3 linked regions of the Arabidopsis thaliana genome follow. The protein of the gene in region 1 interacts with the protein of each later gene in a pairwise test. Each region holds a gene or a part of one and is shown on either strand. Other genes may lie near its edges.

Region 1 (6,234 bases):
CTCTCACTGTTCATCTAATCATTTGGTTGTCAATAAAATTGCTCTGTTACATTTGTTATAAGATATCGTTAAATAAAAAGGTGTTTTTTCCACTACTAAATTGACTGACTTGTATATTATTTTTCTGGTACATTGGTTTCGGCCTGTTTTAAAAACTCTGAATATACTCACTTGGCACTGACACACATATTCTAACCCATATTTTAGCTCATATATCAAACGATGCATGGAGGAATTTTCTGCAATCACAAGACGTCCCAGGTTTAGAATTTTTTGAGATGAATGCCATACAAACTGCCACCAATAATTTCAGTCTATCAAACAAACTCGGTCCTGGTGGATTTGGTTCTGTTTACAAGGCGAGAAACGTTTTATCCTCTTTGCTCTTTTTCTTTTCTGTCATTTCTTGACATGACATTTGCAACTTGTTTCAGGGAAAACTGCAAGATGGAAGAGAAATTGCGGTAAAACGTCTTTCTAGCAGCTCTGGGCAGGGCAAACAGGAGTTCATGAATGAAATAGTACTGATATCAAAACTCCAACACAGAAACTTAGTCCGGGTTTTGGGATGCTGCGTCGAAGGAACAGAGAAGCTATTGATTTATGGGTTCTTGAAAAACAAAAGCCTGGATACTTTTGTCTTTGGTGGGTCACTTCTTACCCCTTTCGTGTAGTTTTCCCCTTTATATCTGGAATTTCTTATCTGATAGCTTGTATACTTAGATGCAAGAAAAAAGCTCGAACTTGATTGGCCAAAGAGATTTGAGATCATTGAAGGTATTGCACGTGGACTTCTCTATCTCCACCGTGACTCACGCCTCAGAGTAATTCACCGAGACCTGAAGGTCAGCAACATTCTTCTGGATGAGAAAATGAACCCGAAAATATCAGATTTTGGTTTGGCTCGGATGTTTCAGGGAACCCAATATCAGGAAAAAACTCGCAGGGTTGTCGGAACTCTGTAAGAACCATCCCTTGATAACATATTAAACTAGATTGGTAGTCATATATTAAATTGGGTGAAACTATTTGATCTTTGAACAGAGGATATATGTCTCCTGAGTATGCATGGACTGGCGTATTCTCTGAGAAATCCGATATCTACAGTTTCGGAGTTCTGTTGTTAGAAATCATCAGCGGAAAGAAGATCTCAAGTTTCAGCTATGGCGAGGAGGGAAAAGCACTTCTTGCATATGTTAGTAAGACTTTATGTTTTCATGCATTTGCAGAGGTTGCAAAAGGTTTGTTGCTTTGATATTCTTAAGAGTGGAAACTGAAAAACAGGCATGGGAATGTTGGTGTGAAACCCGAGAAGTTAATTTTTTGGACCAAGCTCTTGCTGATTCTAGTCACCCATCTGAAGTTGGAAGGTGTGTACAGATTGGTTTGCTCTGTGTTCAACACGAGCCTGCAGACAGACCAAACACACTTGAGTTGCTGTCTATGCTTACCACAACATCAGATCTTCCTCTGCCCAAAAAACCCACATTTGTAGTGCACACTAGAAAAGACGAATCACCGTCAAATGATTCGATGATCACTGTCAATGAGATGACAGAGTCTGTGATCCAAGGACGTTGAAACTGTAGAATTGGAATTATTCTCTATAAGGATCAAAATTTCTAATGGTTGTAAAATTACATCCCTTCCTTTATTATTCAGAAACTTTTTATCTATGTGGAAACTGTTTGGTAAAATTGACTAAGGTATATTTTATTAGGCATGATTACATGATTCCACTTCCCACTAAATTGACAAAATACTTTGCTCAAAAACAAATCGTTGACTCTACTTCATTTTAAGACTTCCCGGGAGATTATTCTCGGGCCTAGTGGCACACCAATGTTGACTGTTGAATTCTTCGGTTCTTTTGGACAGAAACAGTTAAGCCCATATGGTTGGAGTTGGGAATCAGTCGATTAGGGTCATTACGGGTCTAACGACATTAGCGAGGCTCGGAGGTTTTTTTTATGCACTGCAAGTGTTCGAGGAAATGTCTAAACGAGATAAAACATAGCCTGCATTTCAAGAAAGTTATTGTGTTGTAATGGTGAAGCAAGGATTGGATTCTTTCGATTGATGCAGAACTAATAAGGACTTGAACAATGACAACGTTGCGTATCTGATTGGGTAAGGACTTCTTCGTGCCAATCTATCATGTATGCATTGTTTCTATTATTGATGCAGAGCTAATAAGGACTTGGAATTGTCTCCCACTCATTCACGTTGTTATTTGTTTAGTGAGCAGTTACTTTCTGAACACCTTTTTTGTGTATTTAAGTAAATGATTGTCTTTGAATGGAATAGAAGAAAATTTGCAGTAACTTATTCTAAAGTCTTTGATAACCAAAGTCTTCTTCTTTTTGTTCTTGATAGCATTGAACAATGACAACGTTGCGTATCTGATTGGGTAAGGACTTATTCGTGCTTTGACACTTTTGTTCTCTATTATCAAATAACGCATGATTTTTGGAACATTAGTAAAGATTATTAAATAACGCATGATTTTTGTTCTGTATTATTCTCACAAGTCAGTCCCTGAGTTGACAAAACAAAAAATGTGCAAAGAGAGTTTTTTTTTTTTTTTTTCTTGCTTTCTCGCTTTATGTAAAGCTAATCTAAAAAAGATAGTTTTTGGAGAGAAATAACAAATATGGGGAAGAAGTGGATCGTGTTCTTTGCTTATTTGCTCTTATCTAGCTTCTTTATAAGTTCTAGCTCTGCAGGGATAACGAAAGAAAGTCCTTTGCCAATAGGACAAACTCTCAGCTCCTCTAATGGTTTTTATGAACTGGGGTTCTTCAATTTTAATAACTCCCAGAATCAGTATGTCGGAATCTGGTTCAAGGGTATTATTCCCCGGGTGGTTGTGTGGGTGGCCAATAGAGAAAAGCCTGTTACAGATTCCACGGCAAATCTCGCTATCAGCAACAATGGAAGTCTTCTGTTATTTAATGGCAAACATGGCGTTGCATGGTCCAGTGGAGAAGCTCTTGTTTCTAACGGGTCTCGTGCAGAGCTTTCAGACACCGGAAATCTTATTGTCATAGACAATTTTTCGGGAAGAACTCTATGGCAAAGCTTTGACCATCTTGGTGATACTATGCTTCCTTCCTCAACCCTGAAGTATAACCTCGCCACTGGCGAGAAGCAGGTGTTGAGTTCTTGGAAAAGTTACACTGATCCATCGGTTGGCGACTTTGTGCTTCAGATTACGCCACAAGTGCCAACGCAGGTGCTTGTTACGAAAGGATCAACGCCTTATTATAGAAGCGGTCCATGGGCTAAAACAAGGTTCACGGGGATACCGCTAATGGATGACACATTTACAGGTCCAGTCAGCGTTCAGCAGGATACAAATGGGTCAGGATCTCTCACTTATTTAAACAGAAACGATAGACTTCAACGTACAATGCTAACATCAAAGGGCACACAGGAGTTGTCTTGGCATAATGGGACGGACTGGGTATTGAACTTTGTGGCTCCAGAACACTCATGTGATTACTACGGTGTATGTGGACCTTTTGGGTTATGTGTGAAGTCTGTTCCTCCAAAATGTACGTGTTTCAAAGGGTTTGTTCCTAAACTCATTGAGGAGTGGAAAAGAGGAAACTGGACTGGTGGTTGTGTGAGGCGTACCGAACTATATTGTCAAGGAAACTCTACTGGCAAATATGCAAACGTGTTCCATCCTGTTGCCAGGATAAAGCCTCCAGACTTTTACGAATTTGCAAGTTTTGTGAATGTTGAAGAATGCCAGAAAAGTTGCCTCCACAATTGTTCTTGCTTGGCCTTTGCTTATATCGATGGAATTGGGTGCTTAATGTGGAACCAAGACCTAATGGACGCAGTGCAATTTTCTGAAGGAGGAGAACTTCTCTCCATTCGTCTGGCACGTTCTGAACTAGGTATGGCGCTCAAATGATTACACGGAAGAATTACTTCGTTTACAACTTTATCTACAACTCCATTGATACTCTTCTTACCGGAAGCAGCATGGCTTATTGTTTAATTTGTTTTTGTCTTATATGTCACAGGTGGAAATAAGCGCAAGAAGGCCATTACTGCTAGTATTGTGAGCCTTTCTCTTGTTGTGATAATTGCGTTTGTTGCGTTTTGTTTCTGGAGATATAGAGTGAAACATAATGGTAAAAACTGATGATCTTACTCCCTCTCTATTGATTTCTTTTCTTTATTTACAGTACTCATTTTCTTGCTATTGGTAAGACACTGATGACCTATATTATCTATAATTGAAACACTAGTTTCAGCTGATATAACAACGGATGCTTCACAAGTTTCATGGAGGAATGATCTGAAACCACAAGATGTCCCAGGTTTAGATTTCTTTGATATGCATACCATTCAAACTGCCACCAATAATTTCAGTATATCAAACAAACTCGGACAAGGTGGATTTGGCCCTGTTTATAAGGTTAGAGAATTTTTAACCTCTTTGCTCTTTTCTATTCTTTGCTTATGCTCTCCAGATGACCTTATGCAATGTGTTTCAGGGTAAGCTGCAAGATGGGAAAGAAATTGCTGTAAAACGGCTTTCTAGCAGCTCGGGCCAGGGCAAAGAGGAGTTCATGAATGAAATAGTACTCATCTCAAAACTACAACATAAAAACTTAGTTCGGATTTTGGGATGTTGCATTGAAGGAGAAGAGAAGCTATTGATTTATGAGTTCATGTTGAACAATAGCCTTGATACCTTTCTCTTCGGTGGGTTCCTTCTTGCTTCATTCCTTTACTATCAGCAACTTTTTCTCTACATGGAACTGTCTTATCTGATTGTTCATACTCTATATTGTCGCTTAGATTCAAGAAAAAGGCTTGAGATTGACTGGCCAAAGAGATTGGATATCATTCAAGGTATTGCGCGTGGAATTCACTATCTCCATCGTGACTCACACCTCAAGGTTATTCACCGAGATCTGAAGGTTAGCAATATTCTTCTTGACGAGAAGATGAATCCAAAGATATCAGATTTTGGATTGGCTCGGATGTATCAGGGAACCGAATATCAGGACAATACTCGCAGGGTTGTAGGAACTCTGTAAGACTCTATTTTCCATAACATTGTTAACAAGATTCATAGTCATAAACTCATAATCGTTTATTAAACATTGGGTGAAACTATTCGATGTTCGCACAGAGGATATATGGCTCCTGAGTATGCATGGACTGGGATGTTTTCTGAAAAGTCCGACATCTATAGCTTTGGAGTTCTAATGTTAGAAATCATAAGCGGGGAGAAGATCTCAAGATTCAGCTATGGCAAAGAAGAAAAAACCCTTATTGCATATGTAAGTACAACTTTTAGGTATTCATACAGTTGCAAATGTCTCAAAACGTTTCTTGCTTTTATATTCTTAAGACCTGAATCTGAACAACAGGCGTGGGAATCTTGGTGTGATACTGGAGGAATTGATCTCTTGGACAAAGATGTCGCCGATTCATGTCGCCCACTGGAAGTTGAGAGATGTGTTCAGATCGGTCTGCTCTGTGTTCAACACCAACCTGCAGATAGACCCAACACACTTGAGTTGCTGTCTATGCTCACCACAACATCAGATCTTCCACCACCAGAACAACCGACATTTGTAGTGCACAGGAGAGATGACAAATCATCGTCTGAGGATTTGATCACTGTGAATGAGATGACAAAGTCTGTGATCTTAGGGCGTTAAGAAATGATGTTTGATCTTAGGGCGTTGATAACAAACTTCACCTTTTATTCTTTTTGTAACATATTTTTTGTATACATGAACCTCCATTCTGGTGCACCAATGATCCATGGTGTTGAAGATAATGTGACCAGAAACACTAATCAGATAATAGATTCATCATTTCATCTTCCATGTAAGCCAAAATAGAGTTCTTCACATCTAAGTTCTTCTCCTCCAACATCCGAACTTCGTTGTCGAGAAACTCTCTTTCCAACAATAAATTCCTGAATTCACTGTCTTCAATCTCCCTTTGAAACCCAAAACACATCTTCACAAAACCTTCCCTGTGTAAAAAAATTCCATAAGCAATGCTTTATCAATCAGAGGATCAAGAACACAAATGCTTGTTTACAACACAATCGATGTTTACCGCTTCTCGGTTAGTCTTGTAATTAGCTCACTATGCTCATTTCTCAAACGACAAATCTCATCCTCCAATAGCTTCAGAGAGTTTCTTGAATCAGCTTTAAGAAAATAAAACATAGTGATAGAGATTTAACAA
Region 2 (4,561 bases), on another chromosome or scaffold:
CTAGGGGACAACTGTTTCGATGTTGTTCATGCTCGCTCTGTTTGCAGCTTGTGGCGATCCACATTTCCTTTGTCTCCCTTGTTACGCCCAAGTTACTCTCTTCCCTCGTTCAACGAATTCCCTTCAGAAAGCAAAAACATGTGCACCCTCGAGAAGGTCCATCTCCTGATATTGCTGATGATCAGCTTTCCGATGCTCTTCAATGTTTAGTGAACGTGAAGATCCCAGCATCTATTCCAAAAAAGATCATCCCTTTGGGCCATAAGTACAGAATGATCGGTTGGGAATATAATCGCGCGACTTTTCTTCGGCTAGACAAGGAGGGAAGAAGAGGAGAATTTGTTGTGCTTCTCGAAGTCTCTGACACTTTGCTGGTGTTAACAAGTGCTGAAATGAGGTGGAAGCAGCTTGAGAACGTCCCATATACTATATGCGTTGATATAGTCACTTTTAGAGGCAGATTTTATGCACTTTTTCTTTCAGGACAAATCGTCGTTATCGATCCTTATTCGCTGGAGGTGACTCTTCTGTTGTCCTCACCTCAGGACCCGCGAGAATTACGGTCTCTGGTTCCATATGGCAAAGATGAACTTTTCCTGGTTGAGGTAATCATCCCAAATGATGTTGTAATAGACTTTAGTCGGTTAGCTCGTAGAGTGAGGAGGGTAGATGAGAAGGCTGGTAAATGGGTTGAGGTCGGTGATTTGGGAGACTGTGTATTGTTACTTGGAAATCTCTCTTGCTCGGCTAAGGAATTTCCTCGGGGTTTTGGTTTGACTGAGAACGCAGTTTTGTTCGGCGATCAGTCAGGCAATGCATTTTTATACTATAAACAAAGTGCGGTAAAAGATCTCAAGGGAGAATCGTGTGATGATACTCAACCATTTTTTCCGGTTATGGCTCTCCATGAAGACTGCTAGGCAGTAAAATCCTGCTTTAGAGAAATAAAAACATAAATTCCTATCATATTTTTAGGTATGGATTTTGTGATATCTCATGTTACCCATTGTTGGATCACTGGTATTTAATGTTGAAGTTAAATCTCAGTTCTGAGTTCTTATAACTTTTTTTCGTCATCATGATCTTTTTGAACAATTTGACACTGTCCAAAACTGAAACGTTTAGCCACGATATAGAAACTCTTTTCTTGGTCACTGATCTTTTATTGTGTGCTGCCTTGTGCAGTTTAAAAATCTTGCTACTTGAATGGAACTGGCGCTTGATGACGACGATATGGACTAAATGTAGGAAAACTACATTGCTTTTGACCGTGTAGCTCCCGAAGACTTCCTCAATAAAGCAATGGCTGATTACTCTAGCTCGTTGATATTTCCCTGGAGTCTTTGATTTTTCTCGACGTTTAAGTTAGCTTTTCCATCTTTTTAACATATTATACCGATGTCATTTTGAATGAGAATATAGCTTTTAAGTGGAATAGAGAGGGTAGACATTTGTTTTTTCAAAGTGATGAAAAGAAGTGAACTAGATTCTTTAAAGATCAGAGCATATCCACTGTGGTAGCTCACATACTAATACTGTTACGCCAGAACTTTCCCAGAGAGTGTCAATGAGAAAAGAAAATTCCTTCCAAAAGCTAAAGCTAAGTTCTTGAAATCATCTTTAAAGGAAAATGAAACTTACTTCTATAGTTAGCCTAGGGAGTTTCATTGATGGGGTTACCAAGCTCTGTGTTATTTCATTAATGTTGCGTACTAGCGTTTATTAACCGTTCCAAAAACAAGAACTCACATCACTTTACGAGTTCCTAAGATTCAAACCGATCGAAGATACCTCTTGGCAAATCAGTATCAAAAATATTCTTGGGTACAGAGGAGAGAAACAAGAGTACAAAACAATCAACAGAACGAAGAAAAGAAACATAACAACAACATAATGCAAAAACGACGTCATCTCAAGTCTATCCGAAAACCAAAGTCTTAACCGGCTCATTTGATATAAACCGTCTCAATCCCTTCGGTTCTTTGCTTTCCCAATCAATCCAACCCCAAACCAAATTCGCTCTAAATCTTAACTAGTCTCTATCCCCATTTGTCGACGCTACGAAAGGGCTCTGAAGAATCTGCAGGAAGCTCCAACTTTTTCTCCAAGTTACGGTACTACTACGACCTATCTCTTTAATCCCTGCGAATATTCTATAATGAACTGTGAATTTTCTGTTACCAACTTTTAGTTTTTCCTGTGGCAAATTGATCAAACCCAGAATTGATTATGACCTTTGGAGCTTCAGTGAAATCAATTTTTTCCTGTTGGGTTTTATTTTCCAAGAATGAACTGAGAATTTTCTAAAAATGGAAGAGTTGGATCGTTTCAGCAATTTCATCAAACCCCTAAAAAAAAGTTGTAAATTTTCGAAATTGCAGCAGTAAATTTCTGTGTTCTTCAGCAGCAAGCATGGCAATGAAAAAGAAGATATCAACATCATCGATAATGCCAGACTGGTCTCAGCTCCCTGAAGAGCTACTTCACATTATCTCAACGCATCTAGAGGATCACTATTTCGATGCTGTTCATGCCCGCTCTGTTTGCCGCTCATGGCGATCCACATTTCCATTTCCTTCTTCTCTATTACGCCAAAGTTACTCTCTTCCCGCTTTCCCTTTAGAAAGCAAAGACTTGTGCTGCACCCTGGAGAAGGTCCCTTTGTTCCTCTTTAGAGTTCTAACTCCTCCTGATGCTGCTGATGCTTCCTCCGAATATTTTCTGGGAGGATTAGGCCAAGATAAGTCAAATGATCATGTGGAGCTTCCATCTCCTCTTCAGTGCTCAGTGAAAGTCAATGTTCCAGGAACTGAGCCAATTTTGATGAACATGCTTGACTGCCAGATCATCCCTCTGGGCCATAAGTACAGATTGATGATCGGTTGCAATCCTGAAGAATACAGTGCAGCTTTTCTTCCGCTAAACGAACAAGGAGGAGGAGGCGAATTCGTTGCGCTCCTCGACTGCACTGATTTGTTTTTGGTGTTAAGAAGTACTGAAATGAGATGGATTCGGCTTGAGAAACCCTCAACTGCTTCATGTAAGGAGTTATTCACTTTTAGAGGAAGGTTCTATGCAACTTTCTTTAATGGGGACACGTTCGTTATCGATCCTTCTTCGCTGGAAGCGACTCCCCTAACACCTCATATCGACTCCAACTTTCTGGTTCCATCTGGCAATGAGGAGCTTTTCCTGGTTAAGACAGACTTCCTAAGATGTAGAGTAAGTAGGCTAGATGAGGAGGCTGCTGAATGGGTTGAGGTCAGCGATTTGGGAGACCGTGTTTTGTTTCTTGGTGGACACCTGGGGAATTTCTACTGCTCCGCTAAGGAGCTTCCTCATGGTTGTGGTTTGACTGGGGACTCGATTTTGTTCACCGTTGGGTCACGCAATGTAACTTACCCCTATAAATATGGAGTACATACAAATAAAAGAAAGGCTGAAGACAATATCAATTGTTGGAGATCCTCAAGGGAGAATCGTGTGTTGTTCCGCAACAGATATGATCCGGTCCTGTCTTTCCGGGTTGAACGCTAGGCCGCAAATTCTCACTTCAGACTGTTATTCTGTTTTTATTAGATCAAAGGCTATGTTTTCCTTTGATTTTAAGTCTAGATTTTGTGTACTTGAAAACTCGAACTATACATGATCTCTAGCAAATGTGCAATGGTCTATTGTAGTTAGTCTAGAAAGATTTGTTGGTAACCAGCTATGTTCTTATCAAACTTGTTGCAGGCATAGCAGCAATGTCGTCCCCTTATGCCATACCCTCATACAACTACTATTCTTGCTTTTATTCTGTTAAGAGCTTTTTGATCGTTGTATATTGCTACTACATTTTGGTTTGAAGTAGTGGTGCATGTGTTGCATAGTCCGTAGGTAAAACTGGTCCGAAAGCGGTAAACAGGATCACTTCGTTGTTAGTTTGTATCCTTGGGATAGTGAAGATCTTGACAGTTGGTACGTTTGAGTTTTGTATCAAATTTAAGCCTTTTCTGTGATTCAGGGAAGCTTTCAAGAAAGAAGGTGATAATCAGGAAAACTACATTGCTTTTGACTACTCGAGCTGATTGTACTTGCCTTGAGGGAGTCTTTGATTTTCTCAACGGTTAGGTAAGCTTTTCCATCTTTTTTTTTAACATATCAGATTTCCAATATTCTTGAATGAGAATATAGCTTTTAAGAATGGAAATGGAACAGAGAGGGTAGAGACTGATTTTGCAAAGTGATGGTAAGAAGTGAACTAGATTCTTTAAAGGTCAGAGCTTATCCAATGTGGTAGCTCACATTGTTATGCCACAAACTTTCCCGGAAAGTGTAAATGAGAAAAGAAAATTCCTTCCAAAAACTAAAAGCTAAAATCTTGAATCTTTAAGGAAAAGCGAAATGAAGATATAAACTTTAACTGCCCCCAAAAGACAGTAGCAGTTGCAACCACTCACATGTACTAAGGTAACGAATCCTCAAAAAACCTTAAAGAAGCTGAGGTTGAGATTTTGGACCACCATGGAAACAGCTTAGTAAGTCTAACGAGAATAAAATAAAACACAGCTAATACTAA
Region 3 (3,159 bases), on another chromosome or scaffold:
TCGACCTTACCTCGCATCAGAATGTAGAGATCTAGCTGAAGCAGACAAATGGAGACAGCAAATTTTGAGAGAGATCGGTAGCAAAGTAGCTGAGATTCAGAACGAAGGATTAGGAGAGCACAGACTTCGAGATCTAAACGATGAGATTAACAAGCTTCTCAGGGAGAGATATCATTGGGAGCGGCGAATCGTTGAGCTAGGTGGTCACAATTACTCGAAACATTCGGCGAAGATGACGGATCTAGAAGGTAACATAATCGATGTACCTAACCCTAGTGGTCGTGGTCCTGGTTATCGTTACTTCGGAGCTGCTAAGAAACTTCCTGGTGTTAGAGAGCTTTTTGAGAAGCCTCCTGAGCTGAGGAAGCGTAAAACTAGGTATGATATATATAAAAGGATTGATGCTAGCTATTATGGGTATAGAGATGATGAAGATGGTATTTTGGAGAAGTTGGAGAGGAAATCTGAAGGAGGGATGAGGAAAAGATCGGTGGAGGAGTGGCGGAGATTAGATGAGGTTAGGAAGGAAGCTAGGAAAGGTGCTAGTGAGGTTGTGAGTGTTGGAGCTGCAGCTGCTGCGGCGAGGGAAGTGTTGTTTGAGGAGGAGGAGGATGTTGTTGAGGAGGAGAGGATGGAGAGGGAGAAAGAGGAGGAGAAAGAGAGGGAATTTGTGGTTCATGTTCCGTTGCCTGATGAGAAGGAGATTGAGAAGATGGTGTTGGAGAAGAAGAAGATGGATCTGCTTAGTAAGTATGCTAGTGAAGATTTGGTTGAGCAGCAGACTGAGGCTAAATCCATGCTCAATATTCATAGATAGAAAGGTGATCATCTCTTCTTGTAAGGCTTTTTAATCATATCATAGTATAATTTTATTGTCTGTAGTTTCTTTTGCAGTTTTTGATCAGAAAATTGACTGAACTGCTGTGTGTTTTAAGAAATTTCGATTAGAGGAATTCTAAAAATTTGTTGATGTTTCTTATATTATTACATCCTAGATTATGATCTTAGAGAATTTGCTAGATCTTGATTTATATTTCCTTAGTAGTCCTGGTCTGTTTGAGAGTATGATAAGGCTTCTGTCGAGTAATGTCATAAAGCGCGATCAATCTATAACAACAACGTACATTCTTGCTTCATTAATCAAGAGTTTCACTGACCTGAGTAATTGACCTAGTACCCTTGTATGTGGAGCTTAGATTTGCAGAAACTGTTATTTCAATGGGACATACTTTAGTTAGTGCCTTAGTGGCATGCATTAGGATGCGAAGGAATTCGTATTATATCTTCTCTTGAATTGAATCTGAGAGGCTGATACATCATCTCTATGCTTCTCAGATGCTCTGTTTTACCAACAAACTCAGCCGCGATGGTCTCTTGCCTAAAGAAGAAACGATGTTGGGCGTTTGAAATATGATTTCATGGAAACAAATGTGAAAGACTCAAGGAGAAGATACAATGTCACTTGGAACTGAACTAGTGTATTCTATTATGTAGCTCGACTTTTGTATCTTTATACTTCTGAATGTAATGCTCATTGCCTGAGGTTTATACATTGTTCCTTTGGCTCTAACTAGATTGGTGCTATGCAGAGACATAAGTTGAGACCAACCACAAGCATTTTTCTGGTTTTGATTTTACTCCCAGTAAAATATTTATTGAGTACGGACAAAACATCAAAAATCAGAACAAGACCGTTGAGATGGATAATACTTGTCTAGAGATACGAACCACACCCACATGTTCCTACACACAATCCCCAAACCATCTCTCTAACCAATAACACTTTTTCTCTCTTCTCAGTCCTTCAATGGCGGACTACGACGACGAAATTGACCAGAATAACCAACCTTTCATCCCCAAAGAAACTGCTCTACAAGCACTAAACTCAATAATCCAGCTCCACTTCGAGAAAACCTTAGAGAAGAAACGAGCCATTGACCACCAGAAGAAGAAGCTCCACAAGCTATTTCAGCTCTTCTTCATCTTCCTCGCCGTAATCTTCTTCTCCCTCTCTCAACCCTCAGGTCGTCTTCACTGCCGCCATTGCTGGGCACCCATCTGCCTCCTATCCTTCTCTCACCTCTTCTTCTACGTCTCCGTCGCTCAAACTCTCCGTTGCATCAACGGCTTCAAGTACCAGCGTCGCTGCCATAAGCTCACTCTCGGTCTCGCCACTCACAAGCTCCGTTTCATCAAGTCAAGAATCGCTGCCGGAGATTTCCTCGGTGGAGGCGACGGTGATGAGGCCTCTGCTGCTGCTTGGGATCTGGAAGTTCCGTATCAAGAACCACCTGATAGCTACTTTGGCAAGTTTAAGAGAAATTGGGCTCTCTATTTTGGGTTCTTGATCCTTCTTTACACTTTCATGATCTCTTTCTCTGTCGTTATCCTCTGTTTCTGAGATCTCTAGAGTGGCATTTTCGTAAATTTTGCAAAACCCATCTGTTTCTTATTATTCATTAGTCCTCAGCTTTAGAATGATCAAGAAGATTGAAATAAAACAAAGTTAGAATCTTTGACATTTGATTCAATCTGGTTACTGAAGCCCTAGTCAATTACTTGATTGAGAGATGGGATTAAGACAGACAATTAGCATTAATAAATCAATTAATCACAATCAAAAGTTTTGAATTTTTTTTCACAGACACAAACACAAATCCAACGGTGACAAAAAGAATAAAAGAGTTGAAAAAAAAAATTCATAGGGGAAACAAAACACAAAAACACAGCAAGGAAGATTGTTTTGAAACTAACAAGCTAAATCAATGGTCTCGGCTAGGAGTGGTTTTGTTGTTGTTAGCTCCTCCTCTACGAATCTCCTCGCTGCTCGAGGAAGACGGGTCAAGCCCGTATTCGCTCGTGTTCCCGTACTCGCTGCTTGCACCGTACTCATGACTATCCAATGCCACTTTCCTGAACTTCTTCATATCCGCACTGTAAGTGCTTGAGTCATAGTCCGAGCTTGAACCCCTCCCGAGGAATGAGCTTTGTCCCGCTTTCCCTCCTTCGCTTAGATCGTCTAGCGTTGCATCTCCCTCCAGAGCCCGAACAATCTGTTTTAACATTGGACCATAGTGATCATTCTCTTGGTGTAAAGTATATGTTTAAAAGAGTGGTCATGTTCAAAAGTAAAACTTGCCTGGCTCATCTTAGGCCTGC

What was found.
Region 2: the proteins of AT1G61420 (region 1) and AT2G24250 interact in a protein complementation assay, tested with the Arabidopsis thaliana proteins (one large-scale study listed by BioGRID).
Region 3: the proteins of AT1G61420 (region 1) and AT3G18800 interact in a protein complementation assay, tested with the Arabidopsis thaliana proteins (one large-scale study listed by BioGRID).

Annotation. Positions count from the first base shown.
Region 1 is NC_003070.9:22,660,016-22,666,249, reverse strand, and holds AT1G61420 (S-locus lectin protein kinase family protein), read left to right. Parts: upstream 1-2,075; 5' UTR 2,076-2,653; coding exon 2,654-3,908; intron 3,909-4,037; coding exon 4,038-4,148; intron 4,149-4,265; coding exon 4,266-4,435; intron 4,436-4,514; coding exon 4,515-4,725; intron 4,726-4,821; coding exon 4,822-5,059; intron 5,060-5,158; coding exon 5,159-5,309; exon of another isoform or gene 5,310-5,399; coding exon 5,400-5,693; downstream 5,694-6,234. Other genes in the region: AT1G61430 (S-locus lectin protein kinase family protein), read left to right, coding at 208-368, 435-645, 724-961, 1,045-1,195, 1,285-1,581; AT1G61415 (CAP-gly domain linker), read right to left, coding at 5,830-6,016, 6,103-6,196.
Region 2 is NC_003071.7:10,312,412-10,316,972, reverse strand, and holds AT2G24250 (LOW protein: F-box/kelch-repeat protein (DUF295)), read left to right. Parts: upstream 1-1,992; 5' UTR 1,993-2,114; intron 2,115-2,381; 5' UTR 2,382-2,412; coding exon 2,413-3,537; 3' UTR 3,538-3,907; downstream 3,908-4,561. Other genes in the region: AT2G24255 (LOW protein: F-box/kelch-repeat protein), read left to right, coding at 1-920.
Region 3 is NC_003074.8:6,477,939-6,481,097, forward strand, and holds AT3G18800 (uncharacterized protein), read left to right. Parts: upstream 1-1,648; 5' UTR 1,649-1,807; coding exon 1,808-2,401; 3' UTR 2,402-2,525; downstream 2,526-3,159. Other genes in the region: AT3G18790 (pre-mRNA-splicing factor ISY1-like protein), read left to right, coding at 1-817; PERK6 (Protein kinase superfamily protein), read right to left, coding at 2,763-3,053, 3,140-3,159.